Linked DNA regions of Notamacropus eugenii. The protein of the gene in region 3 binds, or shares a complex with, the protein of the main gene of each other region. Links are inferred from orthologs where the notes say so. Each region holds a gene or a part of one and is shown on either strand. Other genes may lie near its edges. The genes, in order: NUP160, NUP85, NUP153 and CETN3.

Evidence for each region.
Region 1: NUP153 (region 3) and NUP160 share a complex: the UniProt entries of both Homo sapiens proteins name them as parts of the nuclear pore complex. The link is inferred for Notamacropus eugenii from reciprocal best matches to the Homo sapiens genes NUP153 and NUP160.
Region 2: NUP153 (region 3) and NUP85 share a complex: the UniProt entries of both Homo sapiens proteins name them as parts of the nuclear pore complex. The link is inferred for Notamacropus eugenii from reciprocal best matches to the Homo sapiens genes NUP153 and NUP85.
Region 4: NUP153 (region 3) and CETN3 share a complex: the UniProt entries of both Homo sapiens proteins name them as parts of the nuclear pore complex. The link is inferred for Notamacropus eugenii from reciprocal best matches to the Homo sapiens genes NUP153 and CETN3.

Annotation. Positions count from the first base shown.
Region 1 is NC_092877.1:3,199,279-3,206,930, forward strand, and holds the start of NUP160 (nuclear pore complex protein Nup160), read left to right. Parts: upstream 1-4,650; 5' UTR 4,651-4,685; coding exon 4,686-4,788; intron 4,789-6,471; coding exon 6,472-6,580; intron 6,581-7,652. UniProt on the Homo sapiens protein: Functions as a component of the nuclear pore complex (NPC). Involved in poly(A)+ RNA transport.
Region 2 is NC_092873.1:341,248,854-341,256,470, forward strand, and holds the start of NUP85 (nuclear pore complex protein Nup85), read left to right. Parts: upstream 1-4,612; 5' UTR 4,613-5,071; coding exon 5,072-5,104; intron 5,105-5,223; exon of another isoform or gene 5,224-5,756; intron 5,757-7,617. UniProt on the Homo sapiens protein: Essential component of the nuclear pore complex (NPC) that seems to be required for NPC assembly and maintenance. As part of the NPC Nup107-160 subcomplex plays a role in RNA export and in tethering NUP96/Nup98 and NUP153 to the nucleus.
Region 3 is NC_092875.1:190,369,555-190,377,554, reverse strand, and holds the start of NUP153 (nuclear pore complex protein Nup153), read left to right. Parts: upstream 1-4,983; 5' UTR 4,984-5,052; coding exon 5,053-5,163; intron 5,164-8,000. UniProt on the Homo sapiens protein: Component of the nuclear pore complex (NPC), a complex required for the trafficking across the nuclear envelope. Functions as a scaffolding element in the nuclear phase of the NPC essential for normal nucleocytoplasmic transport of proteins and mRNAs.
Region 4 is NC_092875.1:450,247,901-450,255,054, forward strand, and holds the start of CETN3 (centrin-3), read left to right. Parts: upstream 1-4,141; 5' UTR 4,142-4,463; coding exon 4,464-4,480; intron 4,481-6,493; coding exon 6,494-6,626; intron 6,627-7,154. UniProt on the Homo sapiens protein: Plays a fundamental role in microtubule-organizing center structure and function. As a component of the TREX-2 complex, involved in the export of mRNAs to the cytoplasm through the nuclear pores.

The DNA.
Region 1 (7,652 bases), on a different chromosome or scaffold from region 3:
GGGTATCCCAGCACTTGCTGTGTGGCATCCTGGGCTGCAGCTCACTCTGATTAAAGACTTCTACTTTGCAATATTAGCCTTAAATTCAGGTTGACAATATCAATGGCAATCTCTAGTACTAAGGGACCTTCTCACTGATTCAAAAGTATATTTTAAAGGTCCTCTTTAAGATCAATGGAAAATATTATGAAGTAAATACTTCTCCAGCCCAAAACCCTTGAGGAAATGGATTGAGAGTGAGAATGAAACTTAGAATAAAAAGTACCTCCTGTCTAGTTATGATCATTGGTTCCCCATCACATACATGGATCGGTGCTAAGAATCCTCTAAGGACAGTTTCTTCCGCATTCTGAAAGGATTTCTCCCCAAAACCTCCATCTGAGGAAGTGTTCACACCAGCCACGCTCTCAAGCAGCCTCAGACTCTCTGGACAACTTCTCCACCTTGTACAGAAACTCCATTTCCCCCCTGTTGGCATTTTCCCTCAATTTCCCATATGCATGGGATGCTCTCCCTCCTCATCTCTACCTCTTTGTTTCCCTGGCTTTCTTAAGTACCAGCTAACTGGAAACTGCAGGGATACCTACCAACTGGGAACTGGCTGAACAAGTTGTGGTTTATGATTGTGATGGACTATTACTGTGCTACAAGAAAGAAGGAGCTCAATGATCTTAGAAAAACATGGAAAGACTTGCATAAAATAATGGAAAGTGAAAGGAGTAGAACCAAGAGGATATTGTCTATAGGAAAAGCAACATTGTTTTAAGAACAGCTTTAAGTGAATAAGTCATCTTGACTGTGATAAATATCCAAATTAGCGCTAGAGGATACATGAAGAAAGATACTATCTACATCCAGAGAAAGAACTGATAAATAAAAGTATGTATAGAAAAATTTTACATATATGTATATGTATATATACATATATACCTATTTGTGTCTAATGGTAGCCATCCTTAGGGCAAAGAGGGAGGGAGGGAAGGAAAAGAAGAAAAAAGAAATTTACCTAACTTTATTCTAAATTTAAAAGGAACAACAAGCCATGCATAACAGAGCTGCAGTTTCATGGGCAATCATCTTTTTATTATGCTGTGTTACATAAATGCTTTTTATTCCATAAATTAAAAAGTGTGAAAAAGTAAAAGCCCCGCTTTTCCGCTCCCCCATCTTTCATTCATCCTATATGGAGCTTATTTCCACATAGCAGTTGGCATCCCATCATGAGCAGGGGCTGTCTTGTCTTTCTTCGAATTCCCAGCACTTAGCAAGGCGCCTGGCATGCAGCAGGTGATTAACTTTCTGACTGTTTCGGCTTGTGTTTGCCTTCCCAGCGTAGTCCCTAGCACATCAATAATGGGCTTCATAAGTGATTTTGCTAATCCAGTGTAATTATTAGGGGACTGGTTAGAGGAAAGAAGCCTTTTGGCCTTTGGATGGCTAGGGGAGGAATACAAGCAGTTTTAATAAATAGACAATAAAATCCTATTGTTCTAGGACAGGGTTCCCCACCCCTGTTCTATGATGTTGATCCCCAAACTGTATTCTATCATGCAGGATGTTTAACATATAACTTTAATAGCTTAAAAGTGTACTAAGATTTTGGGACACCAAGTATTATGAGCTTTTCCTTGTTCAAAACTCGTTACTTCAAATTGTTTTGGGATAGAGATTCTCTATACAGCCTGTTTGTACGTTTGTTGTCTGTCCCATTAGACTAAGCTTTCTGTGGGTAGGCATTGTCTTTGACTTCTTTGTATCCTCAGCTCTTAGTGTAGTGCCTGATATTTAGAAGGAGGGTCATAAATACCAATTGATCAAAAACCTCAAAATGGATCGGATCAAATGTTAAAGAAATGCTATTACTAACCATCTACAATTCAAGGAACCCAAAGTCCTGTATTCATTTCATTACCACAGAGGAATTAAATTCAAAAGAAGCTTGCATTAAGCTCCTGTTGTCTACACTTTGCTGGGCTGAGAGAAATAACAAGTTTAAAAAATCCCTGCCCCAGTGGAGTGTATTGTAAAATCTTACTAAGGAGCTTATTTCCTTCCATGGAGGCTTATCCTTCTTTCACTAACCACCTTCCCCTCCAGACCTCACAAGCACTGTACTTACTATACAATATTCTACATATCATAAATGAGCAATGGTTCCACCAGTACTCTGGAACCTCCCAAACACTGAGCTAGCTCTGGTAATGTGTGCTTTTGCTCCTTGTGCTAATTTTGGCCTAACAACCAACACCAAGAAAACACAAGTACTCCATCAGCCAGCACCATACCACCCATAGGTGGAATCATCGGCTACAGCAAATGGAGTTTTGAATGATGTGGATAAATAAGTTTGATTACCTTGTCAATATACTTTCTAGGGATGTACACATTGACACTGAAGTTGACACACCCATTGCCAGAGCTAGCTCAGAGTTCGAAAGGCTGTATTACCAAGCACCCTAGCATATCCAGAATGACCTGCTAGCACAGGTTCTTTGATATGCTTTATACAGGAAAGACAGCTTTAACAATCTTTCTTTAATTAAGCATATATGTCATTCACTAGTTCAGGGGAAAGGTTAGCACCCTGAATGTGGAGAAAATACAGAGTAAGTATAAGCAGAGAATTAGCACAAAGATTCAACAGACACAGTTCTCTCTGTCTGAACAAAGTAAGACAACCACCTACATACACCACCAGATGGGTGAACACAAACCTTTGAGTAGTCCATGGGTTCTTAACAAACAGCTACTCAGTCCCGTCCAAAGAATCCAAAGGTCCTTCTATAAACTAACCCCCCCCCCCCACAAAAATACCAACCTCCCAGTTTATATAGTTTTCAACTAATAAGCTCAGAGCCAGCAGGCATCACAACCCATGTAACTCAGCACAGCTGTGAACTAGAGGGGTTCAAAGGAGATTGAGCATTCAGATGTTCTCAATTTAGCCTGAGCCTAGGAAACTGAACTCCAAAAAGAAAACAACAAAAATCCTACTTTGCTTGCTCTTACAGGGGCTCCAAAGGAAAGTGTGAGAGAGGAGAAGTATTCATTGTAGATCAGACTGAAGGTCTACAGAGCCATTATACCAGTGCCATGCCAGGAAACTGAATTGCTTCGATTTGAATTGTCTTAGGTTCTGAAGATCACCTCGGTGGGATAAGGTACCAGACACCAAGGTCCTTTTTCAAACTAAACTACCAAAGATTCAAATGTACCGCAGAGAGCACAACTATGATGGACTGACCACGTTGTTCAAATGCCAAAATTCTATTTTACAGAGAACTCACACAGGGCAAGCTCTTACACGGAGGTCAGAAGGACGCTCTCAAGATGTCTCTGAAGAACTTTGGAATTGCTTATATGACTACGAGATGCTGACACAGGACCACCCAGCATGGTGTGCCCTCATCAGAGGTTCTAGGCACTTTGAGCAAAGCAGAATTGAAGCAGCCCAAAAGAAACTGGAGATGCAAACTCAAGAACCCAGTCCAAATGTTCCTATGTGTGTCCCACCTGCGCTAGGGCATTCGGAGCTCATATGAGTCTGATCAGACACATTTGGATACATTGTAACCTGACTAAGGTTACAACCAAACAGCTTTGATTTACATAGTGTATAGCATAGCACCTCCCCTGGCCCCGTAGAGTGCTCTGCATACAGCTGGCATTCCATAAACGTCTGTTTCAGAATAATACCGAGCACCCAAGGAAAGCCCCTAAAACAGACACACGTGTAAAAAGTAGCCATAAAGACCAAGAGAATGCACAGAGAAGAAAATTATGAAGTCTGAAAAGAACCCCTAAAAAATGATCACTTTCCAATTTTCTCTCAAGAAGTCAAGAAGCATTTATGAAGAGCCTACGAGGTGCTAAGCCCTGAGGATACAAAGGTCAGAGACAGTCAATCTTCCCACACCTTCCTCCTCCATCCAGAGACCAGACAAGACCCAGCATTTTCTCTGGCCGGCCCCACTTCCTCCAGGACGCCCCCCTGGGGAGCGTCTGCCGTTCGTGCTCAGTCATACCCCACTCCTTGCGACCTCATTTGGGGTTTTCCTGAGAGATTCTGCAGGGGTTGGCCATTTTCTTCTCCAGCTCATTGGACAGCTGGGAAACTGAGGCAAGCAGGGTGAAGCGACTCGCCCAGGGTCACGCAGCTAATCGTCTGAAGCGGAACTGGAACTCAGGTCCTCCCGACTCCAGGAGGGCGCTATGCCCTGGGCCCGCCGGCGGCGCCCGGATTCACCTCCCACCGCTGGGGCTAAGCACGTGTGGGACCGTGGGCAAGTCACTTAACTTCGCTGGCCCTGAGCTTCTGCATCTGTAAAGTGAGACTGCGGCGGCTACGCGGCCTGTCGGGTCCGGGTAGCTCTAAGTCTGCCATAATGCGCCTCAGCTTCCTGCCCTCCCGCCCTACCAAGACGCAGCACCACCCCCATCAGTTCTGCGCCTGCGCAAGGAAATGCCCCAGCTCCGGCCCCGCCCCCTGGGGAGGCCGGCGGAAATGGCCTCGAGAGAGGCTCTGGCCGGGGACGCGAAGCTCCATCCTTTCCTGCGCCCCGCCGGGCCCGCCAGGCGCCGAGTCTGGCCGAGCTCGAGGCTTCGCAGGGCCTCGCGGCGCCGCCGGAAGTGACGCCAGGCCGAGGGGTGGGCCCGCGCGTCCCGTCGGGCCTTGCGGCGGCGGGATGATGGCGGCGGCGGGAGCGTTAGAGAAGAGTTTCGTGGAGCTGTGCGGCGCCGAGCGGGAGACACAGCGGCGCTTCCGGGACTTCACCGTCTGCGGCTCCGGTACTGGGCGAGCCCCGGGACCCCGGCCCTCTCCGTGCCTCAGTGTCCCCGTGCGTGCCGGGGGGCTTGGGCCCAGGCACCGGAGCGGGCCGCGCTGTGACAGCCCGGGCTGTGAGAGGCCTGGACCGGCTGTGCTGAGGCCCCGCGCCGCTGGGGGGCCGCGTTCTAGGCCCCCCCCCCCCCCCGCGCCCCTCAGGGGCCGCGTTCTAAGGCCCCCCCCCCCGCGCTCCTCAGGGGCTGCGTTCTAAGGCCCCCCCCACCCCTCAGGGGCCGCGTTCTAGGCCCCCCCCACCCCTCAGGGGCCGCGTTCTAAGGCCCCCCCCCCCGCGCCCCTCAGGGGCCGCGTTCTAGGCCCCCCCCCCGCGCCGCTGGGGGGCCGCGTTCTAAGGCCCCCCCGCGCCCCTCAGGGGCCGCGTTCTAAGGCCCCCCCCCCCCCCGCGCTCCTCAGGGGCTGCGTTCTAAGGCCCCCCCCACCCCTCAGGGGCCGCGTTCTAAGGCCCCCCCCCCCCGCGCTCCTCAGGGGCTGCGTTCTAAGGCCCCCCCCCACCCCTCAGGGGCCGCGTTCTAGGCCCCCCCCCCCCCCGCCCCTCAGGGGCTGCGTTCTAAGGGCCCCCCCCCCCCCCCCCCCCCCCCGCTCCTCAGGGGCCGCGTTTTAGGGCCCCCCTGCCCCTCACCTTCTATGTTCTAAGGCCCTCCAGCCCCTAGGGGCCAGTGCTCCAGTCCTCTCCCACCCCTCAGGGGCTGCGTTCTAAATCTCCAGCTCCTTCAGTCCACGTTCTAAAGTTTCCCCTACCGTGACATTCGATATTCCAAGAAACCTTCCAGCTCTAACATTCTGCGTTCTGAAGCCCTCTCCAGCTCTGATGTTCTAGGCTCTAAAGTCGCCTGACATTCAGTGCTTCAGAGTCCCTTCCAGCTCTAACATTCTGCGTTCCGAAGCCCTCTCCAGCTCTGATGTTCTAGGCTCTAAAGTCGCCTGACATTCAGTGCTTCAGAGTCCCTTCCAGCTCTAACATTCTGCGTTCTGAAGCCCTCTCCAGCTCTGATGTTCTAGGCTCTAAAGTCGCCTGACATTCAGTGCTTCAGAGTCCCTTCCAGCTCTAACATTCTGCGTTCTGAAGCCCTCTCCAGCTCTGATGTTCTAGGCTCTAAAGTCGCCTGACATTCAGTGCTTCAGAGTCCCTTCCAGCTCTAACATTCTGCGTTCTGAAGCCCTCTCCAGCTCTGATGTTCTAGGCTCTAAAGTCGCCTGACATTCAGTGCTTCAGAGTCCCTTCCAGCTCTAACATTCTGCGTTCTGAAGCCCTCTCCAGCTCTGATGTTCTAGGCTCTAAAGTCGCCTGACATTCAGTGCTTCAGAGTCCCTTCAGCTCTAACATTCTGCGTTCTGAAGCCCTCTCCAGCTCTGATGTTCTAGGCTCTAAAGTCGCCTGACATTCAGTGCTTCAGAGTCCCTTCCAGCTCTAACATTCTGCGTTCTGAAGCCCTCTCCAGCTCTGATGTTCTAGGCTCTAAAGTCGCCTGACATTCAGTGCTTCAGAGTCCCTTCCAGCTCTAACATTCTGCGTTCCAAAGCCCTCTCCAGCTCTGATGTTCTAGGCTCTAAGGTCACCTGACACTCAGTGCTTCAGAGTCCCTTCCAGCTCTGACATGTGCTGAACTGCCCCGATGTTCCCTTTGCAGAACTCGTGGGTTTGTCCGGAGCTGTGAAGTATGTGGAGAGCGCGGGCGGCTTCTACTACTTGGAAAGCAGCAAGTTGTTCTCCGTCACCAGAAACAGGTTCATTCATTGGTGAGTGTTACAGAAGGAAGGAGGTCTGGGCCATGTACTCTAGTATGAGGGGATGATCGTACCTAAGGGAATAATGGTTTGTGAGAATAGGAAGAGACTTTAAAAAAATCTGATTTCTAGGTTATATGGAGAACAAATGTAACAACAAGAAATTCTGGATTTTGGTCCCATTATTTAACATCTCTGGAACTCAGTTTCCACATCTGTAAAATGAGGGTGTTGGACTATATAATCTCTAATGAATGACCTTTCTCACCATAAAGTTATGGTCCCAGGCAGTAGGAAATAAAAATGACCGACATTAAATATGTTGTACTCTACAGTAACATAGAACATGGTGATAGGTTCTGGGGAAAATATCCATAGTTAAGATATTAATCTTTCCTCACAAAGTTTACAGTCTAATATAGGTCTGTTTGCAGTCCATCAAAAGATTTCAGGCAGCCCTCGAAAAATGTAGAATTGTCACTGCACACTCTCCTGTTTGTCGTATGACTCGCAGCAACCAACCATCATGGATCTGTCTCTAGTATGAACCTATCTGTGACTAGAAGAAGTTGAGCCTATTTTAATTTTGGCCCCTACCTACTGCCAAGTTGTGCAGTCTGGTCTAGTAGGAACCTAAGAAAGACACCTTAGAATACAGTCTTCCATGGTAGGTGCATTAGCTCTGCTCTGAGAAGTTCCAAGTGAGATGTGAAGGTGACAATCATTCTGTACCAGGTCTTGATCAGGGAAGACTTCCTCAAGGAAGTCATCAGGTGGAGCTGTAAGGGGTGGGCGGAAATGCAGCAGATAAAGGAGAGGAAAAACATAGCAATTTGGGGAATAGCCTATAAAGCCATTAAGGTATGAAAACTTGTGCTTGGAGATAGAATAAAAATTAAAAGTCTGGCTGGGGAAGGGGATGGGTATTATAGGAAACTGGAAAGTCTGTGGAGGGCCTTGAATGTCGGGCAGCAAACTTTGAACTATGAAGCCATGAAAGATTTGTGAGCAGGTCTATTGTATAGGTCAGCTTTTAGATGCAGAGGAAAGGTGGCCTGAGTGGAGCCCTGGGAAACCCATGAGC
Region 2 (7,617 bases), on a different chromosome or scaffold from region 3:
GTGTTGCTCCTTATTTAGTTCCTGTCAACGTGCTGTACTGAGCGTTTCTTTTGGGTGTTAGGAAATAAATACCTGTTCCATAATGTATATAGAATAGCTTTTTAATTTTCCTTTTTGGGGAGATCTTAGGCACAAGTCAAAACCTGATCTTTAAGTAGTTTTCCCCAGAGGTGACTATGCTATAAGACATAATGAGCTAAAGTAGATGAGAAGAAAAAGTCTAATCTCCCTTTTAGAGTCACTCAGGTTCTTCCCATGACTAAAAGCAGTCCAGAACATGTACATAGATAGGTCTAGAGCCAAGAGGAGACCTTCATTAGAGAAGGGAGGGGCCTCAGTGCCTTTTGCTGGCTTGAGTACAGCAGTGTCTTAGTGTTCCACAAAAAAAATATGTTAATTTGTGTTTTTCTCTAAGTCAATATGCAGCTCAGGGATCCCATCTATTTGAGTTTGATACTACTGATCATGAATCATTCAGAGCTAGGTTTGGCAAACAATTTCTGTGCCCCATTTTGGGTTGCAAGTTTGCTGTGAATTCACAGTACACAATTAGCTAACATATCAGCAGAGACAAACTTTACAGGTAATGTTCCACACCCATAATCTTCCACCTCAGCAAAGAGAGGAAGGTGAATTTTCTCATCACTTTTCTTGAGCTATTGGGCTAAGCTTGGTCATTATAACTACAACACATTCAAGTTTCTAGGTCATTGCTTTGTTGAGGTGAGAGAACCATGTGTTGAGGCTTGGGGTGCCTGGGACCCCAAAATACTGACAACCCTGGGTCCTACCCAAATGAATTTGACCCAAGCCTTTTTACAGCCAATGAAAAACAAAGTTTATTAAAGATCCGTCATGTTGGGTTAACTTATGAAGGCTGGCCGTTTTTGAGGTTTGTATTAACAAGTGGGCCAGATAGAATCTCAGGTAGACAGAATCAGAACTGGATTGAATCAGAGCACCTTCATAGAGACAAGAAAGAGCTTATATACAGAAAGACTGTGCGAGGGATCTGGGGGTGGTCTAGTGGTCTAGGGTGATGGGAAGAGGGTTTAGGGAGGGTCTTGAGGAGGAGTCCAATGAGGATCTTAATGGGGTTGGAGTGACAACTGGTCAGAATCAAGACAGTAGGATTCTGATGTGATCAGGGAGGAGTTAACAGACAATGGAGGGTTTATAGAATAAAAGATGGGAAGTAACCCGAGGCAATCTGGAGGCAACCAACAAAGGAGGGCCAGGCTAGGTTAAAGGTAACCAATTTGGGTGGGAAAAGCCAGATTTTAGAGTTCAAAGAGGTTCCCAGAGACTATATTCCATTCTTTTATTATTGTTCTTTCTTTCCATTTGCATTTTTTGGAATCATTGCATTTATTTTCCAGTTTCTGCTTACTTGACTTGACATTTTTTCATGTAAATCTTCCTATGCTTCTCTGATTTTGTCCCCACAACTCAAGATACTCCATATTCATAAACTAGCTATTGAGCTGTTTCTCATTGATGGGTGTCTCTTTGGGATTATTCTTCTCACAAGTACAGATTCCAGGGGAAAGTGGGCTTCAGTTTAGATGGCATATGTGACAAAATCGAAGCTCTCAGGAATTCTTCTGCCACAGTCCTTAAGTATGGTTGAACGTTTCTTTTTTGTAAAGCCTTTAGCCTGCCTTTCCCCACCATGCTCAGGCTGACCTTGCTTCCTGAAGCAAGACATTGTCACTTCAAGGATGCCATTGGGAAGATGAGAAGTACAAAATCCTCCACTAGTCCAATCAAAGTGGGACTAGGGGCAGGAGAAAATCAAGGCCAGGGCTCTCTCTGCTCTTCCCTGGATTCCAAAAGATTCTTTCTGTGGAGTATAGCTGGAATGCTCTCTCTTCTCCATTGCTGGGGACTTGAATCTCTCAAGCAAAAACTGGCTCAGTATTTTATAGATGGCCCATAGGACATAACTAAGTTTCCTCAATCAATCAGAATACATTTCTTGCTATATTTGGAGAGATATCCAGGCCTTCTTTACATAAATGAGATGCGTTCCCACCTGTTAAATGTAATAGGGGTATAGCATCTTATTACTTTAGGTGGGAGTGGAGTGGATTTATTCAAATGTTTATTCAATAATTTATTCAAATTATGTATTGATCTCCCCACCTTCACTCTGCTCTTCACTCAGAGGCCCCTTAACTCTCAGCACCCTAGAAGAGCACCTGGAAAAATTACTTAAAGTTTAGGTTTGGCTCATGTCTAGGGTCTCTCTGAAACACAGGATCCCTCTCCCTTTTTAAAAGAAATTCTAGGATGAGCAAACCCACCTGGTTGGGCTCGGTTTCTCCCCAAAAAGGGGAAGGTTAAAAGGTCCTGGAGATAAAATATTAATGAGATCTAGGACAGCTATTTATTTCCTCTACACAAAAGAAAGGCTAAAAACAAAAGACTCACAAGTGTCCTTAACGAGGAAGGAGTAATGATAGTGGCTGGAGCAATTTAATGTTTGCAAAGGTCTTTACAAACTTTAGCTTATTTTGCCCTCCTCACAACCTGAAGAGGTTGGTGCTATTTATCATTGCCATTTTACAGATGCGGGACCTGTGGCTGGTAAGGGTTAAGTGACTTGCCCAGGGTCAGGAAGTTTATAAGTTTCTGAGGCCAGTTTTGAACTCAAGACTGAGTTCCAGGGTTCTGTCCACTGTGTCCACCTAGCTCCCTCAGTATTACTGTTATGTTCTCCTGTGAGACTTGAACAAAATATAAAACATTTTATGGGTCTGCTGAATAGACATTTTATCTTTCTCTTAGGCTCTGCCCTTTTCAAACAAATCTCTCCAGGTCCACTTCTACTGGCAAGTCAGGCCAGTCATTCTCTGATGTAGAAACTCCTGCTGCAGGTCAGCTCAGAGAGACCTCAGTATGATCTCAGACTCTGGAATCCACACAAGATTGCCTTGGAGGCAGGCCATGTACATCTTGGGCAAATGGAAAAGCTAGTCAGGAACTTCAAGGTTAAGTTCAGCTGGCCTCATTGCCATATATTAGCAGATGTCAGGTTGTCAGAGCTGATGAAAGGGGCTACCCTTTCTTTTTCCCTTCAGGGTAGTCTAAAGAGGAAAAGCACTTATCACCCATAAGGTGGAAAAGAGAGACAGAGAGCAAAATACCTCCTGGCTTATTCGCCAGTCCTAGCTGATACAGGTTTGATGTCTTTCAACCACTGGGAGTGAGAGACCATGAGTCTGCTTTGTCATTCCAAAAAGACAAACTCCAGAGAGGAGTACATTTTCCTAGAAGTGTTAAGGGATGCAATCCCCATCACGTAACAAGATGTTTAGCTTTGGCCATAACATCCTGCAAATTCCCTTCTAATCTTCATGTACCTTCACAATTAAAAAAAATATATCATTGCAGATGCTGTTTTCTAACTGAATAAAGTCACTCACATTGTGTTTAGTGATCAGATTTATTCGAGGTGTCACTTATATCCTGGTTTGGGGTTGGTAACCTCTTTCCCATCAAGGGCTCCCAACTCTGGGTTCATTATGCTATCAATCTAGAGTTGTACCAACTCTGGGGAAAATCTCTTAAACAAAGCCTAGTTTTGGCTCTTGTCCAGGTTCTGCCCAGAAGGGATTAGACTCCTACAGAAATGCTCAATGTACGAAATAGATTATGTACAGGACCGCTATTTATTTCCTCCACAACAAAAGAAATGCTTAAAACACAAAAGACTCATAAGCACTCACTGAAAAATATTTAAAACATGAAACAATAATCCATCAGTTCTATTACACTCTTCTGGGAGATAGGAAAAACTTACAGGACAGTTGTGGAACAGATAAACATTTCATTTTCAGCCCAACCTACACTGTCTGAACAACTCACTCATAGCCCCTGTCTTCTGGTCAGCCAGCCCACCTGGCTCCAACCTCCTAGACATGGTTTTCTTCTCCAAAAGGGGCATGACTACCAAGCAGAACCTCCCACTGGAATATCAGCACCCAGACTTCTCCATGACTCTGGGCTGCTCCAGCTCAGTCGGCGGCAGACAGGTGCCTTCTCCAGCTCATCTTACAAAAGAGCAAAGTGGGCAAACTGGGTTAAGTGACTTGTCCAGGGTCACACAGCTAATAAGGGTCTGAGAAGAAATATGAGTCTTCCCGACTCCAGGACTCTATCCACTGTGCCTCAACAACCACAAAGATCCCTCCAAGTAAAATAAAGTGAATGCACCGAGGGCATGGTGGTGGGGGATTTTCAAGTTCCCTGGGACAGCTGGAGCGACTTTAAATCAATTTAAAACCAGTGCTAGGGATAAGCAGTAGAGTTGGAACCTGGAGTCAGGAAGACCTGGGTTCAAATTCAGCCTCAGACATGTAAAAGCTGCGTGCCCGTCACAAGTCACTGAGCCTGCTGGCCTCAGTTTCTTCTTCTGTAAAATGGGGTAACAGCAGCCCCTACCTCGGGGTAGCTGTGAGCCAGTCCTTCCTGCCATCCTCATCCTCACTGGAGCTAGTTTCTACTGCGTGGCAGCGTCTGCCTTCATGGGTGCAGTCACAGCGGCAGTTTCCACCTCCGCGGATGCCTCCTGCACGGGGGGCACACCGCCTGCCGGCGGGGTGCGTGCGGAGAGGGCCCAGCACGGGCTAACCCGCGGGGATGGCTCCAGCTCGCCACAGGTCCAGACTGCCTCTCCACCCGCAGCCGCAGGGGGGCGCAACCTGCCCGCAGATCCCAGGCTTCCCAACCCCAACGAAGACCCGACGAAGAACTCTCCCGCCACCTGGGGAGAGCCGGGCTGCCCACAGTTATGCCCGGTGTCAGTGAGACGGATGGAAGCACGGACGTGATGCTTCAGCATCGGCGATTTCGGAGGGGCGGCTTCCAAGCCCCAAGTGGGGAATTATCTTTAAGGGTGGCTGATGTGAGCATGCGCACGTATGCGCTCAAATCCCGAGCGCCCTGACAGGCACTTCCGCGGCCAGCCGGGCGCCGGAGCGGGGTCCTTCGTAGGCGCGAGATACGGGGCCCGGGTGCTTGTGGCGGCCCTCGAGTCCCTGGTGCTTGCGTTGACCGGACCGCCAACATGGAGGAGCTGGATGGTGAACCCACGCTCACGGTAGGTTCCGTGCCGAGGGACCAGCAGGGCCAGGGACAGCCGCGGGTGGTCCAGGCGCGTTCCCGCCTTCCGTCGGAGGTCGCTGCCCCGCCCCTCCAGAGGTCACGGCCCGGCTCGGGCGCGCGCTGCAGCCTGGCAGGGCCGGGTCGTGAGAGGCGCCGGGTTGCATTTCCTTTGTTTCCCGCTCGCGCCTTGGCCACGCCCACGCACGTGGGTGTTCCTCCCTCCCGCGCCCTAGGCGGGCCTCCTGCCCTCTCTCTCCCTCCCCTCCCCCTCCCCTTCTCACCTGAGAAACGCCGCTCGGGTTTTCCCGGGGAGTCCTCGGGGGTTTTCTTGGTTGTCGCGCTGGCTGCGTCGCGTGGTGGGCGGGGTGCCGGCGGTGGAGTCCGGGGGGCCTGGGTTCGAGCACGGCCTCGTCCCTTTCCCGTTTCTGTGATCCTGGTGGAGTCCCTTAGCTAGTCTGTAAATGGGGGTAATGACATCAGCCGGCGCTTCGCGGGGTCGGGGTCGCCTTGTAAAGCGCTTTGCAAACCCCGGGCCGGTCACTCCGCAGCAGGGGGACATCCTGGGGCCCGCCCCCCGGGGTGTGGGCAGGAGCGGAGGAGAGCCGTGAAGTGCTGGGTCCGAGCGGGGGGCCGCTCGTCCTCCCCGGGTAAGTGCGGCGTGCGCGTTAGCTGTCGTTGCTACTGCTGTTTAAGCGATGGCTCCTCAGCATCGTTATTATCGACAGCCGTCCCCGCTATCTGTTATAGTAGAGTGAATGACTGACATGGGAATGCTTCACGTGGTTGAGTGATTGCTCGCCATCCCAGGGCAGGGGGGGAGTGGGAAGGGAGGGTGCTAGAATTAGACAGTTAGAACCGCAGTGCTTGCCCTTTACCACACAGTCGCACCATCTCTCACGGGCCCCTCCGCACTTGTGTGACCTGCGTGGCCGCCACCAGCGCTGGGGCTTCTCCCGCCTGCTGAACCGGACCCCATTCTCCTGAACCTGGTCATTCAGGGGCCTCTAGTGGTGCAGTGGACAGAGCACCAGTGCAGGCGTCAGGAGGGCCTGAGTGCAAATCTCACCTCAGACACTGGACACGCCACTAGCGGTGTGACCTTGGGCAAGTCACTTAACCCCAGCTGCCTCATCCTGGGTCATCTCCAGCCATCCTGATGAATATCAGGTCACTGGATTCAGGTGGCTCTGGAGGAGAAGTGAGGCTGGTGACCTGCACAGCCTTCCCTCACTCAAAACAAATTCAAGTGCAAGTCATGTCATCATTTCTCTGATGGCATGATCTTCTTGGGCAACGAAGGACGAACACACGTATATTTAGTCTCAGAGAAAATCAGAGATGTTTTCACAGTGGCTGTGGAAAGTACTGGAGAAACCCTTGTCTCCTCTGACTTTTTCTTTGTACTTTGGTTTAACTCCATTTTGAAGCAGGGACCAGGACCAGGTTTTTGTTTAGTGCTGCACTGAGTATCTGGTGACTATGCCATCAGCGAGTTTGAGGTGAGACAGTAGTATACGGTCATCCTGCAAGCTTCCCCCACTCTGGAACCTCACCCTGTTTTCCTCATTATATTTCTGAGCTGTTGGCATGACCCTTCTGCTGAAAGGTCATACTTGACATATCTCTGGTCATGGCCATTCAGCTTCTCTAAGAAAGAGAATGTATGGGTCGAACTAGATGTCCTTGAAACTCACGTCCACTCAATAGATTCTGTGAATCACTGCTGAAGCTAATTAGGCAGAAAAAAGGATACACGTAGGAAGGAGTGCATGTTGTTATTTCTATAAATAGTAATAGAATAAAGCAATTAAAAAAAAAAAGTCACACCCCACATAGATACCAGCTGATAATCTGCAGAGTTCATGACAATCTTGAAATGACTGAAATAATGCTACTTAAGAGTAATACTTATTTTTTAAACTGTATCTTATTGATGCCTTTTGCCTTTGCACCAGTCATTTCCAACCTTCTCTAGATTGCACCTCTTAATTGTGGATACTCCAGGATCCTGTCCTGGGCCCACTTCTTGTCTCTTGCTTGGTGACCTCAGCAGTTTTCATGAGTTTAATTACCATTTACAAATGATTCCTAAATTCTACATATCCTGCCTGAGTATCTCCTGAGCATTGCTCAGATATCTCTGTTGGATATTTCAAACTAGGTTGCCTATAGACATCTTAAACTCAACTTCTCCAAAACAACTCGTTTTCTTTTCCCTCAGTCTCACCCAAGTTCAGTTCTCCTGATCATCTCTATTTCTATTGCGCATCCCCTTCCTTCTAGTCACTCAGATTTTCCATCTCGGTGTTGTTCTGAAGTACTCATTCTCTCTCATCACACATATAGTCACTCAGTTGACACATCTTGCCATTTCTGTGTCCATGACATCCTTTGCTTCTGACCTGATCTTTGTATTCACATAAACACCAATGCAATTCGAACCTACATCACCTTTCACTGCCATGGCCTCTTAATTGGTCTTCTTACACAACTGCCAAGAGATTTTCC
Region 3 (8,000 bases):
AATACCACCAAAAATACACAAGTGTGCCTATCTTCCCATAATCTCTCCTGTATCAACTATTGACATCTTTTGGCATCTTTGCCAATTTGCAGGGTTGTTTCTCTTATCAGTGATTTGGAGCATTTTTTCATATAACTGGTAATAATCTGCAATTAGTTTCTGTATTCCATTTTCATTGGCTATAAGTTAGGAATCAGCAAACTATGGCCACAAGCCAAACCTAGCTTACTGTCTATTTCTGGTCAGCTTGTGAGTTAAGAATAGTTTTTACATCTTAAAATTAAGATGTAGTGGAACGCAGCCATGCCTACTTGTTGACAATTGTCTATGGCTGCTTTTGTGCTACAATTGCAGAAGTGAGCAGTGAGAAAAGGGATGATTGTGCTCTCATCGATTTACATTGCTCAGCATACTACCAATTGCAGTGACAATTACTATTCAATAGTGTTTCGAGTACCATGCATATCATCATATGATGACTTTTTTTGGACCTCAGGCTGAGATTGAAATATTTCTTAAAGAGAACTGCCCTCAACAACTATTATTGAACACTGAATGACTTTGGAAATTAGCTTTTGCTGCAGACTTCATAAAGCTTATTAATGAATAATTACAAGGCAAATAGAGCCTATCAGGTGAAACTTATATTGTTGTAAGGTCAATTTAATGACAGTTATTATTGTTTGAATCACAAGTAATGTCAACTTTTAAAAATATTTCCTGTGCTGTCAAAAGTAAAAACAAGAAGTGAGATCTCTATTCTCACACAAGTTTGTAGCAGTTATATTTTCCTTGCCTCAGACTACAGTTCCAGCAGTGCTTTTCAGACTTCAATGCAATTGTGAAAGAAATTTCCATATTTTAACATCCATTTAACTGAGTAACTGAGGAGCTTCCACCTAACCTTCAACTGAAGTGAGTACTCTGTAATGTAATGACATAATAAGGTTCTTTATCTAACGAAGAATCTAGTGAAATTCTATAAATGCCTTTCAACTGATGAATATACTCCATCAAAATCATATGTTTGTGGATTAATATCAGTATTTAGGGTAGAAAGACATTTTCAAGATGAAATAAATAAAATCTGATTATGAATCAGCATTTGCAAGCAATTCTGATGATAGGGAATACTATGAACTCAAATTAAACTAAATGTTATCCCCCTCACCCCCCAAAAAAGGAATTCCGTTCTTCTCATTAGTAGAACCATATTACCAAAAAAAAAAGTTATATTATACATGTCCAAAACAGAACTTATTTTTTTCCCTAAAACCTCCTCCCTCTAACCTTCCCTATTAATGAAGAGGGCAAAATCATCCTCCCAGGCCTTCAGACTCCCAACTTAGATGCCATCCTCAACATCCTTGCCCCACTCCCTACCTCCATATCCAGTCCTTTGCCAAGGCCTGTCAATTTCACCTTTGAACATGTCTCTAATGAGCTCCCTTCTCTCCTCTGACACCATCACCATTCTAGTAAAGGTCCTCATCACCTTGTGCCTGGACTCTTGTAATAGGCTATTGGTGGGTCTGCTTGCCTCAAGTCTTTCCCCACTGCAATCCATTTTTTAACCACCAAAGTGATTTTCCTAAAACACAGGTCCATCCACATCACTGCCCCTCTTCCCCCTGCCCCCACCCCCTCTCCCCTCCAGCAATAATCTTCAATAGTTCCCTATTACTTCCAGGATCAAATACAAAATGCTTTGTTTGGCATTCAAAGCTCTTCATAACCTAGTCCCCTCCTACCTTTCCAGTCTTCTTATACCTTATTCCCCTATATGTACCCTTCCATCCAGTGACACTGGTCTCCTTGCTGTTCCACAAAAAAGAACACATCATCTCTTGGTTCTGGGCATTCTCCCTCTCCTCCATGCCTGGAATGCTCTCCCCTCTCATTTCTACCTCCTGATTTCCCTGACTTTCTTTAATCCCCATCTAAAATCCCATCTTCTTCATAAAGCTTCTCTCAAATCCTCTTAATTCTTGGGCCTTCCCTCTGGGGATCATCCAATATATAGTTTGCTTGAATTTGTTATAGTCCCCATTAGAGGGTGAGTACCCTGAGGGTAGGGACTCTTTTGCCTCTTATCCCTAGGGTTTAGCACTGTGCCTTGCACACAGTAGGAACTTAAATAAGTGTTTACTGACTATTACATTTTGAATTTCATCAAAAGAATCTGTGGAAATTAGTTTTCTCTCTTGTTATACAAGTACCTACATAATATCCTCAATTTTACCTACTAGCCCACAAAGCCCAAAATATTTACTACCTAGCCTTTTATAGGACAAAATTTTCTGACTCCTATAACAGGTTAGAGACAGTCCCTGACATTAAAAAAAAAAAAAAGATAAGAAAAACCTGATAATATCATATCCCTTATACATGGTAGCCTCTTTGGAGGATGCCTTTCTGCTACCACATGAGTAGCTCATTCCCCATCTTAGCTTGCACTATACTAAGGAAGCCTATGGAAGATATTTTGGGGCTGAATCTTCCCAATATCTAAATACTTATATCTTCTCACTAGGAGATGGGGGTAGTTTCTCAAGGCCTGAAGTTCTGAGTTGGAACTTCTAACATTTTCTCATAAATGGTCATATGGTCAGATTCCCAGACCAGTCCACAAAAGGCCATTTAGCTGACTGGATACTATTTAAGTAACACACTTACAATTCCATTTCCTTCCACTGTCATGTGATTTTGATACTAAATAGAAACAGAACATCTGCCTGCAAATCATTAATTATGCCGCATTACACTCAAAGTTAAATAAATGGATTTCACTTTAGTTATAAGTTAAATGGATTTCATCTCCAAAATGAAGATAATTTTCCACAGAAAGCTAGAAGACAGTATTTATCATCAAGGATAATTTTTCATAACACAAATTCTCACTGCTGGGAGTCCCCAACTTGCAAACAAATGGTGTTCCAAAATTTTGTAAATCAGCCGTTTGGTGCTAAGAATTTAGTACCAGATTAGCTCACAAAAACCTATCTGAATCATAATGTTGCAGGTACTATTTCACAGAAAAGTGTTTTCAAAACAATAAGTTGTTTTCCTCCTCTGTCCCACAGATTTTACCTTTCTTTGCCTTTGTCTTCACTAATACTGACAAAGAAAAAGCAAGGGCTTGAAGATATTACCTCTCCCAGGTATTTCTTTTTGTTGCATAACTTTAAGAAATGTTTTTAATGAAGGAAATTCAATGGTTCAGGAGGCAACTTCTGTGATTTTCAAATCACAACGTTTCTTCCTTCCTTAAAAATTTCTTCATCGCTCTACTTACAAAATAATCTTTGTACAACCTCAGTTAAGTTACTTTGCCTTCCGGAAAAATGAGAAAAAATTTTGCTCCTTCAAAAATTGGATTTCTCCTGACATCAGCGAGAAAGGTGAAGATAAAGGCGTGGGAGAGCACTGAGGACAAGCTCTTCGCTTTTCAGTTCTGTCTGGCCTTGGAGGGGCGGTTCCACGCGTGACAGCGAACATCAGTTTCTCTGATGGTAGGGACGCAGATCCTGCTAGGGCTGGCCTGGTCCTGCAGACGAACGGTGAGCCCGGAAGCCTGTCAATGTCAACGTTGGTTACGCTTTAAGACTTAAGCTAAAGCCCCGTAAGGATCGCTCCGGCCGCCGACCCGGAGGGCCGTAAATAAGCTGTCCACTTTTAGGAGACGGTGAAAGTGATCACAGCTGGAAGAGGCCGGGGTCGAAATCTTAAACACACATTTTGTACCTATTTTAACTTTCTGGTCCTTCCCAGTCCTACGCTTCTTATTTTACGCGTTTAAAAACACTGTTCCGAAGAAGGATCTCTAGAGTGCCAAATAGTCCCGAACAACTCTGAACCCCGCCCCCCCAACTCGGATCTCATCCATCCCCTGCACTTCATGAACCAGGCCAAAGGAGGGGAGGTTACCAGACGGAGGTACGTCAGAGGCCGGCAGGGGATGACGGACGCGGGGGCTGCTTCCTTCCAGCGCCCTTTAGGCCCACGCTCAGAAGTGGGGAGGCCCCCGGCGGTAACGTGTCGGGAAAGTCCCCCGGGGGCAAGGAGAGTAAAAGGGAGAGTCTGGGAGGGGGGGAGGACCCCGCTCCCAGTAAAAAGCACGTGCGCGCTTCTGCTGAATCCGAGCCCCATGGAGAACACGCAAGAAGCTGGCGCCTCATTTTGTCCCAACAAACCCGGCCTCCTTCCCTCCCCCACCTCCAAACTCGGCGTTCCTCGGCCGGACTCTATTTCCCGTCAGCCCTACGCGCGGCGCGGGCCGGTTCAACCTTCTTTCCCTTCTCCTCTCGCTCACCCCGCCCCTCGGGTTCGGGCGCGGATCGATGACGCGCCGCACCCGGCGCGAGAGAGTGACGCCACTTTGGCTCGCGACGGCGGCGGTCGCTGCAGCAGCAATAGGAGCAAAAGCGGCAGCGACGGTAGCGACGGCGGCGGCTGAGAAGACTACGACGACGGCGACGGCGGCGGCGGGGCGGGCGCCAGGCGCGGGGGGGAGGGGTGGGCGGGAGGCACAGGCAGCAGCGGCTGAGGCGGCGGAAACAGCGAAAGGATCACCGCCCGGCGGTCGCGTTAGGCCCTAGCGGCGCCGGGAGCTGCGCGAGAGTCGAGAGCCCGCGCGCGCGCCGGCTTCCCCCCGGAGATCTCCATAGAGACCGTGACACGCACAGAGGCGGGTGCCCGCAGGCGGGCGGGCGGGCAGGCGGGCGGGCTGCGGGGCCCGGAGCAGGCGCCGCCGCCCCTTCTCCACCTCCTCCTCCCCTTCTCTTTCTCCTCTTCCTCTTCCCTCCCCCCTCCCTTCTCTTCCTCCCTCCTCCTCCCGCGCGCGCCCTCTCTCTCTCTCCCCCGTCGCCGGCCGGGCCTCGCGCTCCCTCTGGTGCCCGTGCCCCGGCGAGCGGGCCGGGCGGGCTCTTGGGCCGGGGCCGGGGGGTGGGGGGGCCGCTGAGGCCGCCGCCGCCGCCGCCGCCTCTCCCGCCCCTCCCCGCCCTCCCTCCCTCCCTTCCCCGCCCCGGAGCGGGAAGAGGCCGAGACTCCGCCATGGCCTCGGGAGCAGGAGGAGGGGGCGGCGGCGGCAAGATCCGGACGCGGCGCTGCCACCAGGGCCCGACCAAGCCCTACCCGCGGGGACGGCAGCAGCAGCAACAGCAGGTAAGGACGGGCTTCGGGGCGGGCCCGGCCTGGCTGCCGGGCGGCCGCGGCCTAGCTGAGCCCGGGGCTCAGACCCGACCCCCACGTTGGGCGCCCCCAGCCCTTCCCAGCCACCACCCAAACCGCCGGGGCCCCCCTCACCCGGGACCCCCGCACTGCCCCCACCAACGCCATCCCCGCAACATTCCTCCCCCGCTCCCCCTGGGCGCGCAGTGTCCGCCTCCTCTCACACACGTCTACACGTGCCATTGCTACCGTAGCATCCACGCTGCCCAACGCACAGCCCATTGTGCCCCCCCCCACCTCCGTGCGCCCCGCTTCCCGGCGCTCCCACTGTACTCTGCTCTTACCCAATACTGTCCCCCCAATTCCCCCTTTTCTCCAGGACATTTCTGTCTTGTCCAACACACAGTCTCACCATGCCCCCGTTCCCCAGTACAGTTCTGTCTTCCTCCGATACACCCCCCCACCACACAATACACCCCCTACTGTGCCCTCTTCTTCTTCAGGGTACTTGTGGCTTCTTCCATGACACACATCTGGCTTCGCGCACCAGAGGTCCCCCAACTCCTCCCTCCCGCTGTGCGCCCCTCTTCCCCAATACACGTCTGTCTTCCCCAACACACACCACATCTGTGCCCTTATCTTCCACAACACCCCCATCACACACTGTCCCCCAACTGTGTCCCTCAACTTACCCAACACACATCTGTCTTTCCCAAGATACATGCCCCCATACCTTGACTTCACTCAGCATACCCCCAACCAAAACCTATCTATCTTCCCTTACACATCCATCTTCCCTTAAAACACACTTACCTCCCCCTTATACACAAACACATACACCCACACTCAGTCTCATCTTCCATTATACAGGGTACTTAACTGACTCCCTACACATTACATCTCTACCACACACTCATTCCCTCATACACACCTTTCTTCCTTTACACATGCACACCCACATCTTCCACTTCATACATGCCTCTTCCCTTACACACCCACCTACATCTACTTCTACACAAAATGCATATCTTCCCTCACATGTGCACTCGTGCACACACATCCCCATATAACTGGGGCATGTGTGGGGTGGGGACCTCTGGAACCAGAGATGGGGTGAATTCAGCAGGCTAGTGTTGAAATAAATGTATATGTGGTAGGGCTACTGCCAGCCACTCCATCTCCTGATATGTATCTTGGTTTGGGGTATTCTGAGTGAATTAGTTAAAGGTTGTTTGTATTTCCAGACCTTGCTTCCTTTTTTTGGGGTAGAGGGAAGAGGGGTGTATGGGAGGGGTTGGATATTAGGGTAAAATCGGAAATTATCTCGGGTTCATTATGTCTTGTCAAGACTCCTAGAATAGAAAGGGAAGTAGAGGAAAAGACTGAATAAATTTGGTGCAATGGCTCACTTTCTACCCCCACATCTCTTGGGAGTGATGATTTTGTTTCATGTATTTGTTTTATTTGTACTTCAGTCCCCATTCTTTTAAAAGTCTAATTTAGATCTCATAAGAACCCAGGTCCACGTGGATCACCTTCTGGGGAAAGAGTTATAGTGACACTGGCAGTGGGTGCATTTTGAAAATCCCTCTTTTTATATGTGTCCTATATGGGTTGGCCTTTCCTCTGCCTTTACTTGTTTTGGAGTTTGGAATTGGTAGTTATCCAGAGGTGATCAAGACATGTGGTTTTGATTTCTGGTATACAGATTTTCATTTTGATGAGGATATTTAAAAGCTTGGGTTCTTTGCCATTTGTGGGGGAGAGTGACAAATAATATAGCCATTTTATATATATATATATATATATATATATATATATATACATATATATATATATATATATACACACATGTACATATATATATATAGTTGGCAGTTATTGGACAACCTTTGTAAAAGAAAATAATAGGGTAACTAAGCTATCTTAGAAATCACAGCTAGTTGATCCATAAAAAGTTACCAAGATAAATTCTTTTTTTTTTTGCTTGAAAGGAAGTTAATTAAGTTGGTTTAGTAAGTAATTTGCTATTTAATATACTAGTGAGTTGATTACATGAAATTTTAAATGACTCATGGTATCAGTACCTACTGTTGAAGTGATCAGAGTAATAATCAGATTATTATTCCAGATAATAAAAATAATTGGTATTTATATATTGCTTTAACATTTTCAAAGAAATACACATTTCACACATTCACACAAATGTATGTGATGTTATTTACTTTAGTTTCTTCATGACAGCTCTGACGGGATAGTACTAGAAGGTGGTGGAATAGATTTTACCCATTTTACAGAGGAGGAAACAAATTCAGAGGTTGTGACTTGCTGAACTCTAAGTCCTGTACTATCTATATACTATCCTACGTCTCAAATGATTTGGAATGCTAAGCTTATGTTTTATAACATTTCTTATGATTGAAAAACCTACAGATTATTTTCCTAAACACAGGTTTATAGAAACCAGGAATTTGGGGATATTACCAATTAGAAAGTTTATTTCTAATTATTATTGCTTCTTTCTAATTAAAGATTCACAGGTCTATGGAATTCCTCTTACCTCTAGTTTTTTCCCCTTAGGCATTTGCAGAAAATGCCTGATTGCCAAATATCTTGGAAGACCAGTGTGCTTTGTCAGGGAGTCTGAATTTTAATCCCCACTCAGAGGCCTCTAACTCACAGTTTGAGCATAGATAAATCTCTGAAATTGAGCCTTAGCCTCCTGTTCTATATACTAGGGAGAGGAATACTTAGATTGTGTTTTGATCAGAAGAAGGACTTGTGTGGATAAAATAAAACTGTGGTACTGAGAAAGATGTTACATAGGTGAA
Region 4 (7,154 bases), about 260 Mb from region 3:
ACATGGTTGGCAATGGTAGAGCAGAAAAGGAGTGGAAAGCTTAGAGATTTGGTATACAGCACTGCATTTACTCACTTGGGTCAGAACACTCACAAACATCAAGGTTGGTTTGACAGAAAACAATGGGGAAATTCAGAAGCTGCTAAATGAAAAACGAGAACTCTACAAATTTTACCAGCAGGATAGTTCATCCATCTCTAAGAAGGCATCATTTAACTGCATCAAAAGTAGAGCACAAGTGAAGCTTTAGCGAGATGCAGGAAGGATTCTCAGTTCAGTAACAAGGTAGATGAAATAGTTTAGTTTCAACCCAAAGCACTTTAAAGATATCCTGAAGGCTATTTATGGGCCAGACATATGGTGCATCACAACTACTCAGTGCTGATGGAGCCATATTGATTACTGACAAGGATATAATCCTTAAATCATACCAGGAATAGAACAGAGGTCTGTATACAACATTCATCAATTTGATCTGACCAAGGTCTTTGATACTGTCAAGTGTTGGTGCATGATTTTTTTTGTTTGCAGATGATTGTTCACTCAGTGCAGCCTCTGAAGCTGAGATGGAAAAAAAGTATAGATTGATTTTCTGCTGCTTGTTCTAATTAATTAATACCAAGAAAGCACAGGTGCTTCACCAGTCAGAACCACATCATTCATACATGGAACCATCAGCTACAGCAAATGGAGAAATTCTGAATGTTGTGGATAAGCTCACTTACTCTAATAAACATCGCAGATGTACATATAGATGATGAGATTGCCTCATTCATTGCCAGGGCTAGCTCAGTGTTTGGGAAGCTCCAAAGTGTTCTCAACAGACTAGCAATCAATGGTGAAGTCAACTTCTCTCTAGACAAATCTCCAACTGAGGAGGACATTTTGAATACCTTTAGGCTGCTTTCCTGTGACGAAGCACCTGGTGCTGATTCTATTCTAGCTGGGGTTTACGAGGTGCGTTGAGGGGTGCTGGTGGTGGTTGGACCACTGAGCAAACAAAACCTGGCTGAAATTTTCCACATTATACAGCAAGAGAAGGTTATTCCTCAGTTCAAGGATGCCTCCATCATCCATTTCTATAAAGGTAAAGGAAAGACTGTCCTGTGACAATCACAGTGCGGCTCTCAGATCTCTTAGTAATTGTTGGCAAGATTCTTGCCAGAGTCCTATTTAATAGGCTAATCCTTCACCTGGAAGATGGTTATCTACCATATGAAGCCAGCTGGCTTCAGAAAGGGCTGGGGTATGGTTTATATGTTGTTTGCTGCCCTACAACTCCAGGAGAAATACCAGGAATACAACAGAGGTCTGTATACAACATTCATCAATTTGATCTGACCAAGGTCTTTGATACTGTCAGTTATGAGGGTTTATAGAAAATTATGTCAAAATTTGGCTGCCCAGAGAATTTCATCAGTATTGTACATCAGTTTCATGATGGCGCACTTATCTGGGTTCTGGATAACGGACAATGTTCTTGTGCTTTCCTAGTCACCAATGGAATGAAACAAAGCTGTGTGGTTGCTCCCATGTTTTTTGGCATGATGTTTTCATCAGTGTTGTCAAACGCTTTCAATAAAGACAAACGCAGGGTCATGGTCAATCACCAGCACTGATGGAAAATTTTTCAACTTGAAAAAGATACAAGCCAAGACCAAAGTAGAGGGAGTGTTGGTGCACGACTTTTTTGTTTGCAGATGATCGTGCACTCAATGCAACCTCTGAAATACATTGATTTTCTGCTGCTTGTGCTAATTTTGGCCTCACAATTAATACCAAGAAAGCACAGGTGCTGCACCAGTCAGCACATCATTCATACACGGAACCATCAGCTACAGCAAATGGAGAAATTCTGAATGCTGTGGATAAGCTCGCTCACTCTAATTAACATTGCAGATGTACGTATAGATGATGAGATTGCCTCGTTCATTGCCAGGGCTAGCTCAGTGTTTGGGAAGCTCCAAAGGAAAGTGTGGGAGAGAAAAGGTATTAGACTGCCTACCAAACTGAAGTTCCATAGAATCCTTTGTGCTGACTTCCTTGCTGTATGCCTGTAAAACCTGGACAGTAAACCAGTACCATGCCAGGAAACTGAATTGCTTCCATTTGAATTGTCTTAGGAAGATTCTGAAGATACATGGCAGGAGAAGGTACTGAACACTGAGGTCCTTTCTCAAACTAAACTGCAAAGCATTCAAACTCTACTGCAGACAGTGCAACTCCAACGGGCTGGCCATGTTGTTCGAATGCCAAAAGCATTTTTGCCAAAAAGACTATTTTATGGAGAAGTCATATAGAGTGAGTGTTCACACAATGACCAGCAGAAGCGATTCCAGGACACTCAAGTTCTCTCTGAAGATCTTTGGAATTGATTGAGACATGGGAGACACTGACACAGAAGGTGCTATGCTCTAAGAGCAAAGTAGAATTGACATAGCTCAAAAGAAATGTGAGATGTGCAAACTTAAGAGTATCCACTCCAAATGTTCACATGGACTATTTGTTCCTGATCTGCCGCAGGGCCATTCTGAGCTTGTACTGGTCTGATCGGCCACCGTTGGACACACTGTAACTTGACTCTAACACAGTGATGTTATTTTGGTCCTCTTCTGAGAACAAAGAACAACCAACCAACCGACAGTGCTAGAAACTCTTAAGTGAAATAAATATGAACTAATCTCTCTTACACATGACAGCTCTTCAAACATTTTAAGCCAGCTATTTTATCCCTCAAGGGTTTACCCCAGGCTAACCAGGATCAGTTCCTTCAATCAATCTTTTAGTGTTGTCCTGTCTCCAAATCTCTCATTTCCACACCTTCTCTCTGATATTACCATTCTGGTTCAAACCCTCATCACCTTCTGCCTAGACTATTGCAATAGCCTGCTAGTTTTTCTCCCATTTTAGGTCTCCGCTCATTCCATCCTCCTTACAGCTGACAATGCTTTCCCCAAAGCTCATCACTTTTCTACTCAATAAGCTACAGTGGCTTTCTAATGACTCCAGGACAGGGATGGGGAACCTGAAGCTTCAAGGCCACAGGTGGCCCTCTAGGTCCTCAAGCCTAGCCCTCTGACTGAATCCAAACTTCACAGAACAAACCCCCTTAATAAAAGGATTTGTTCTGTCAAACTTGGACTCAGTCAAAAAGCTGCACCCCTGGACCAAGAAGCTCAGGTGTCTTCAAGGTCCCCACCTCTGCTCTAGGACCATCTTTATCTCATCCTCTAAAACACTTATTTCCGCCTAAGTTTTATACTGCACATAATTATTAGTACAGCAGCGCTTGTATGTAATTCATAAGCAAGTAGATCTCCTCATTTTTTTATCAGCTAAGGTGCACTATATAGAAAAGGTAAGCAGGGTCCGTGGTCTTTTCGATCCAGTCCACGCCCCATATACTTCTCCCTGCAGTCTGGCCATAGTGGGTATAGACTTCAAGCTTGTCGCATCGAGCTGAACTGAAACCCGCTTTGGGGTCCGTTTGCATAGACAAGGCGGTGGCTCGGTGGACACAGCCACGGGCCTGGAGTTCAAATGCAGCCTCGGACCCTTCCCACCTGTGCGACCCTCAGTGAGTCTCCTAATCCCGATTATCGCCCAAAGCGGAAGCGTGGGGGGCGCTGCAGTGTCTCTGCCGAGAGGAGCCCCAGTGGGGCCGGGCACGGCTCAAACGACTCGTGAGGCACGGGAGACACGGGGGCCTCTCCGGTGCGTGGCGGTCTCTCCCACACAGTGGCCTCTCCCGCGTGGCGGCCTCCCGTGCGTGGCGGCCTCCCGTGCGTGGCGGCCTCTCCCGCGCGGCGGCCTCCCGTGCGTGGCGGCCTCTCCCACACAGTGGCCTCTCCCGCGCGGCGGCCTCTCCCGCGTGGTGGCCTCTGACACACGGCGGCTTCCCGTGCGTGGCGGCCTCTCCCGCGTGGTGGCCTCTGACACACGGCGGCCTCGGCGCTAAGGGGTGGCACGGCCCTCTCACTGGAGGCTGAACGCCAAGCACAGCCCAGGGGAGCCCACGATCTCCCTCTTTCCCTCCCCCTCTGGCTGTTTTTCAGGCACGTTCCACGCCTCGCGCTAGAGGCGCCTCGCGCATGCTCCCTGTTGCCGTCGCGAGCGCTCCGCCCCCTCCTGCTCCAACGGTAACCGCTTCCCGCCCCTCCCCCTCCCCGTTCTGACCGTCCCCGCAAAGAGTTTCGGGAAGACGCGTCCAGCCCGCAATCTGACCAATCTCTCGGGGGAGGGAGGCGGGTGCGGACGGGAAAGCCGGGAAATACTGAGGATTGACGCACGGCCGCGTCCAATGAGAACCAGAGTTTAGTTCGACTCTCGCCCAGACGGACCCGAATCGAGGCCGGGGGAGGCGGCTGCGGCGCCTGGAGTGGTGTGCAAGGGCCGGAGGAAGCGGCGCTGCCCGGGGCGGGGGGGGATCTCGTCCGTGGCTAAGGCCTCTGTCCGAGGAGAAAATGAGTTTAGCTCTGAGGTCGGTAAAGAGGGGGCGGCCCAGCCCCCTCCCCCTCCCGCCCCGGAGCGGGGCCCCACCGGCGGGCCTGGGGGGGAGGGGCGGGGAGGGAGGAGGGGCGGGGAGAAGCCGGGCCACCTTGCCCCGCAGGCTGAGGAGAAGCTGCAGGCGGGGCCGGAGCCCGGGACCCAGGTCGAGCTGCGGCGGGGCGCAAGTATCGCGAGAACTCGGGCCTGGGCCTCCTCCGCTGCTCGCCTGGGAGACGCCCCCGGCACATACGTCCTCCCTCCCGTGCCTCGGGCCGACCTGGCGCCGTCTGCGCGTCTCCTTCCCGCTTGGTTGTTATTCTTGGCCTCCTCTCACTCCCCCCTTCCCCATTCCGTTGATGCCATTACAGAGAGAGAACGCAGATTCTTAACGTGTGGCGTCCATGTCTGATCGGAGGGGGATGTACCCAGGGGGTAATGTGGGGAAGCCAGTGGGCCCTTTCAGAAGAAAATAAACCAGGAATACGGAGAGTTATCCGAACGTCGGTCAGTTCATGCCCTCTCCCCAGGCCTTTTGTTGAAAAGGGACGCTGGAAATCACCCAGTTTATCCTTTACTTATGAAGATGGAAGATCTAGAGAGGCGAAGTGATTTCCACGGGAGTTTTAAACTTGGGTTCTTTTCTGAAAAATTCAAGCTTCTTGACCATGTCTGCCTTTCTCCTTCTCTATGCGAGGCACTAGAGTTACAAAGGCTGGTTTTTTTAAGTGGCAGAGCTCCTTAGCGTCATTTACTCCAGAAATTTGATTTCTTTATTAAAACGAACGTTTCCTCCGATGTCCTCACTCGGATCTCCGCTCTGGCTTTGCCTTTCTCTGTCTCTTTCCCCCCTGCACACATCATCCTCCCCCATCCAAGGTTTCCATTGATTTTGTCAGTTATTCTTCAGAGCTGTGCTCAGACACCCTTTGATGTGGGGTGTCAGTAAAACAGAATTATATACCTCTTAAGTCAAGGAGAAATTTTACAGGCCCTAATTCTGAAGGTAATGCTATCTTCTGATCTTCCTGGGAGATTTCATTGTAGTCACACCTACACTGTAGAAGTCATAACAAAATTATTTGTAGTATAGGATTAGAAGCTGTGTTAAGTGAGCTGTCTTAGAGTTTTTATTGAAAATTCTTTACCTTTTGAAAACTTGTGTGTTATAATGCTGCATTCCAATTTACTTGGATTTTAGACATTTTAAATGACAATTTAAAAAGTTTAGGCTTTTTGATACTTCATTTCTGTAAAAAGATAAATTCAGTTTCCTTTTTGTCATGTCAGCCTTTCCAGAAGAAGACACTGTTCTTCAATTGGATATCATAGGTTTTATTTGCGTTTTGTACATGTAACATGGACCTGTGTTTAAGACGAATATCATTTTAGTTGATTTTTGTTATTCAAGGAAAAACAAATGTTTAAGATGTGTAACTTTGCAGGCTAGTATGCCAAAATATTTGGTGTTAGTTGATTTCATGGATCCCTTTAAATTATGTTGCTTAGGTAAAGTAGGAGTTATTTTAGCCACAAGCAAAAGTAAGTCAGTTTCTAATTAGGTTACTTTTGATTATCCTTAGAGTTAGTTTTATGCTGATATAAATGCTACAGAAGACAGTAATGAAAGTTTAAGTTTGGACAGTTTTTTACATGGCTTCAGAAAAGTTACTGTATCATATGAGCTCTCAGGCATTGCTTCATTTGCAAAAGTGTTAAAGGAAAGAAGGAAAATGACTTTCTCTTAGTATGGTATCTGTGAGCTACAGTTTTCTTGGCTCTTTTGTTTTGGGAGACTGAATTAGTTGATGGCAGGGATGTTATGTCCTTAAGTCCTTAAGGTAATTTGTTCTATCTTTGTTCTCTCAAAGTTGTAGAAATTTGGAAAATCATCCTGATATTTATTTGATTAGTTTTCCCTCCAGTCTTATTTTGATTATTGATGAATGCAAATAGAAAATAAAAGTGGACTACATGATTTTCTATTTTCTCTTTTTTCATGTCATAGAAATGAGCTTGTAGACAAAACAAAAAGGAAAAAAAGACGAGAGCTGTCTGAAGAACAGAAACAAGAAATAAAAGATGCTTTTGAGTTATTTGATACAGACAAAGATGAAGCAATAGACTACCATGAACTGAAGGTAAAAGTAATTCTTTTAAAGTTGGTTTGTATCTGTTGGCAGTGACCTGAAAACTGCTTTCTAGTTAATTTTATACTTAATCTGTTTTTGGAACTCAACTGTTACGGTATAGCTTTTGCAGTAATGTGCCAGGTTGTTATTTAATGGTATCCTAACACTTTTTTCTTTTTTTTTAGAAAATAATTTTTATATAGTTAGGTTAGTCATTCAGAAGGCAGTTAGTGTTACACCTTCTGTATACCAGGCAATATGCTAGGCCTTGGGGAAATACAAATTAACAGCCTTTTAAATTATAAAAGATCATTACTGTGAAAGGTACATACTTTTCAGTAATAATATTAGAGGATCTTAAACTGTTAATCTGCAGGTATTTATTTAGCATTTAAGTATTCTATTTGGAGGTTAAAGGGTTTTTGCTTTCAAAGTCTCTCCTCTTCATTAGGCCCAAACTCTTGTATATTCTGCTTTTGAAGTGTGAAAGTGATCACACACACACACACACACACACACACACACACACACAATTGC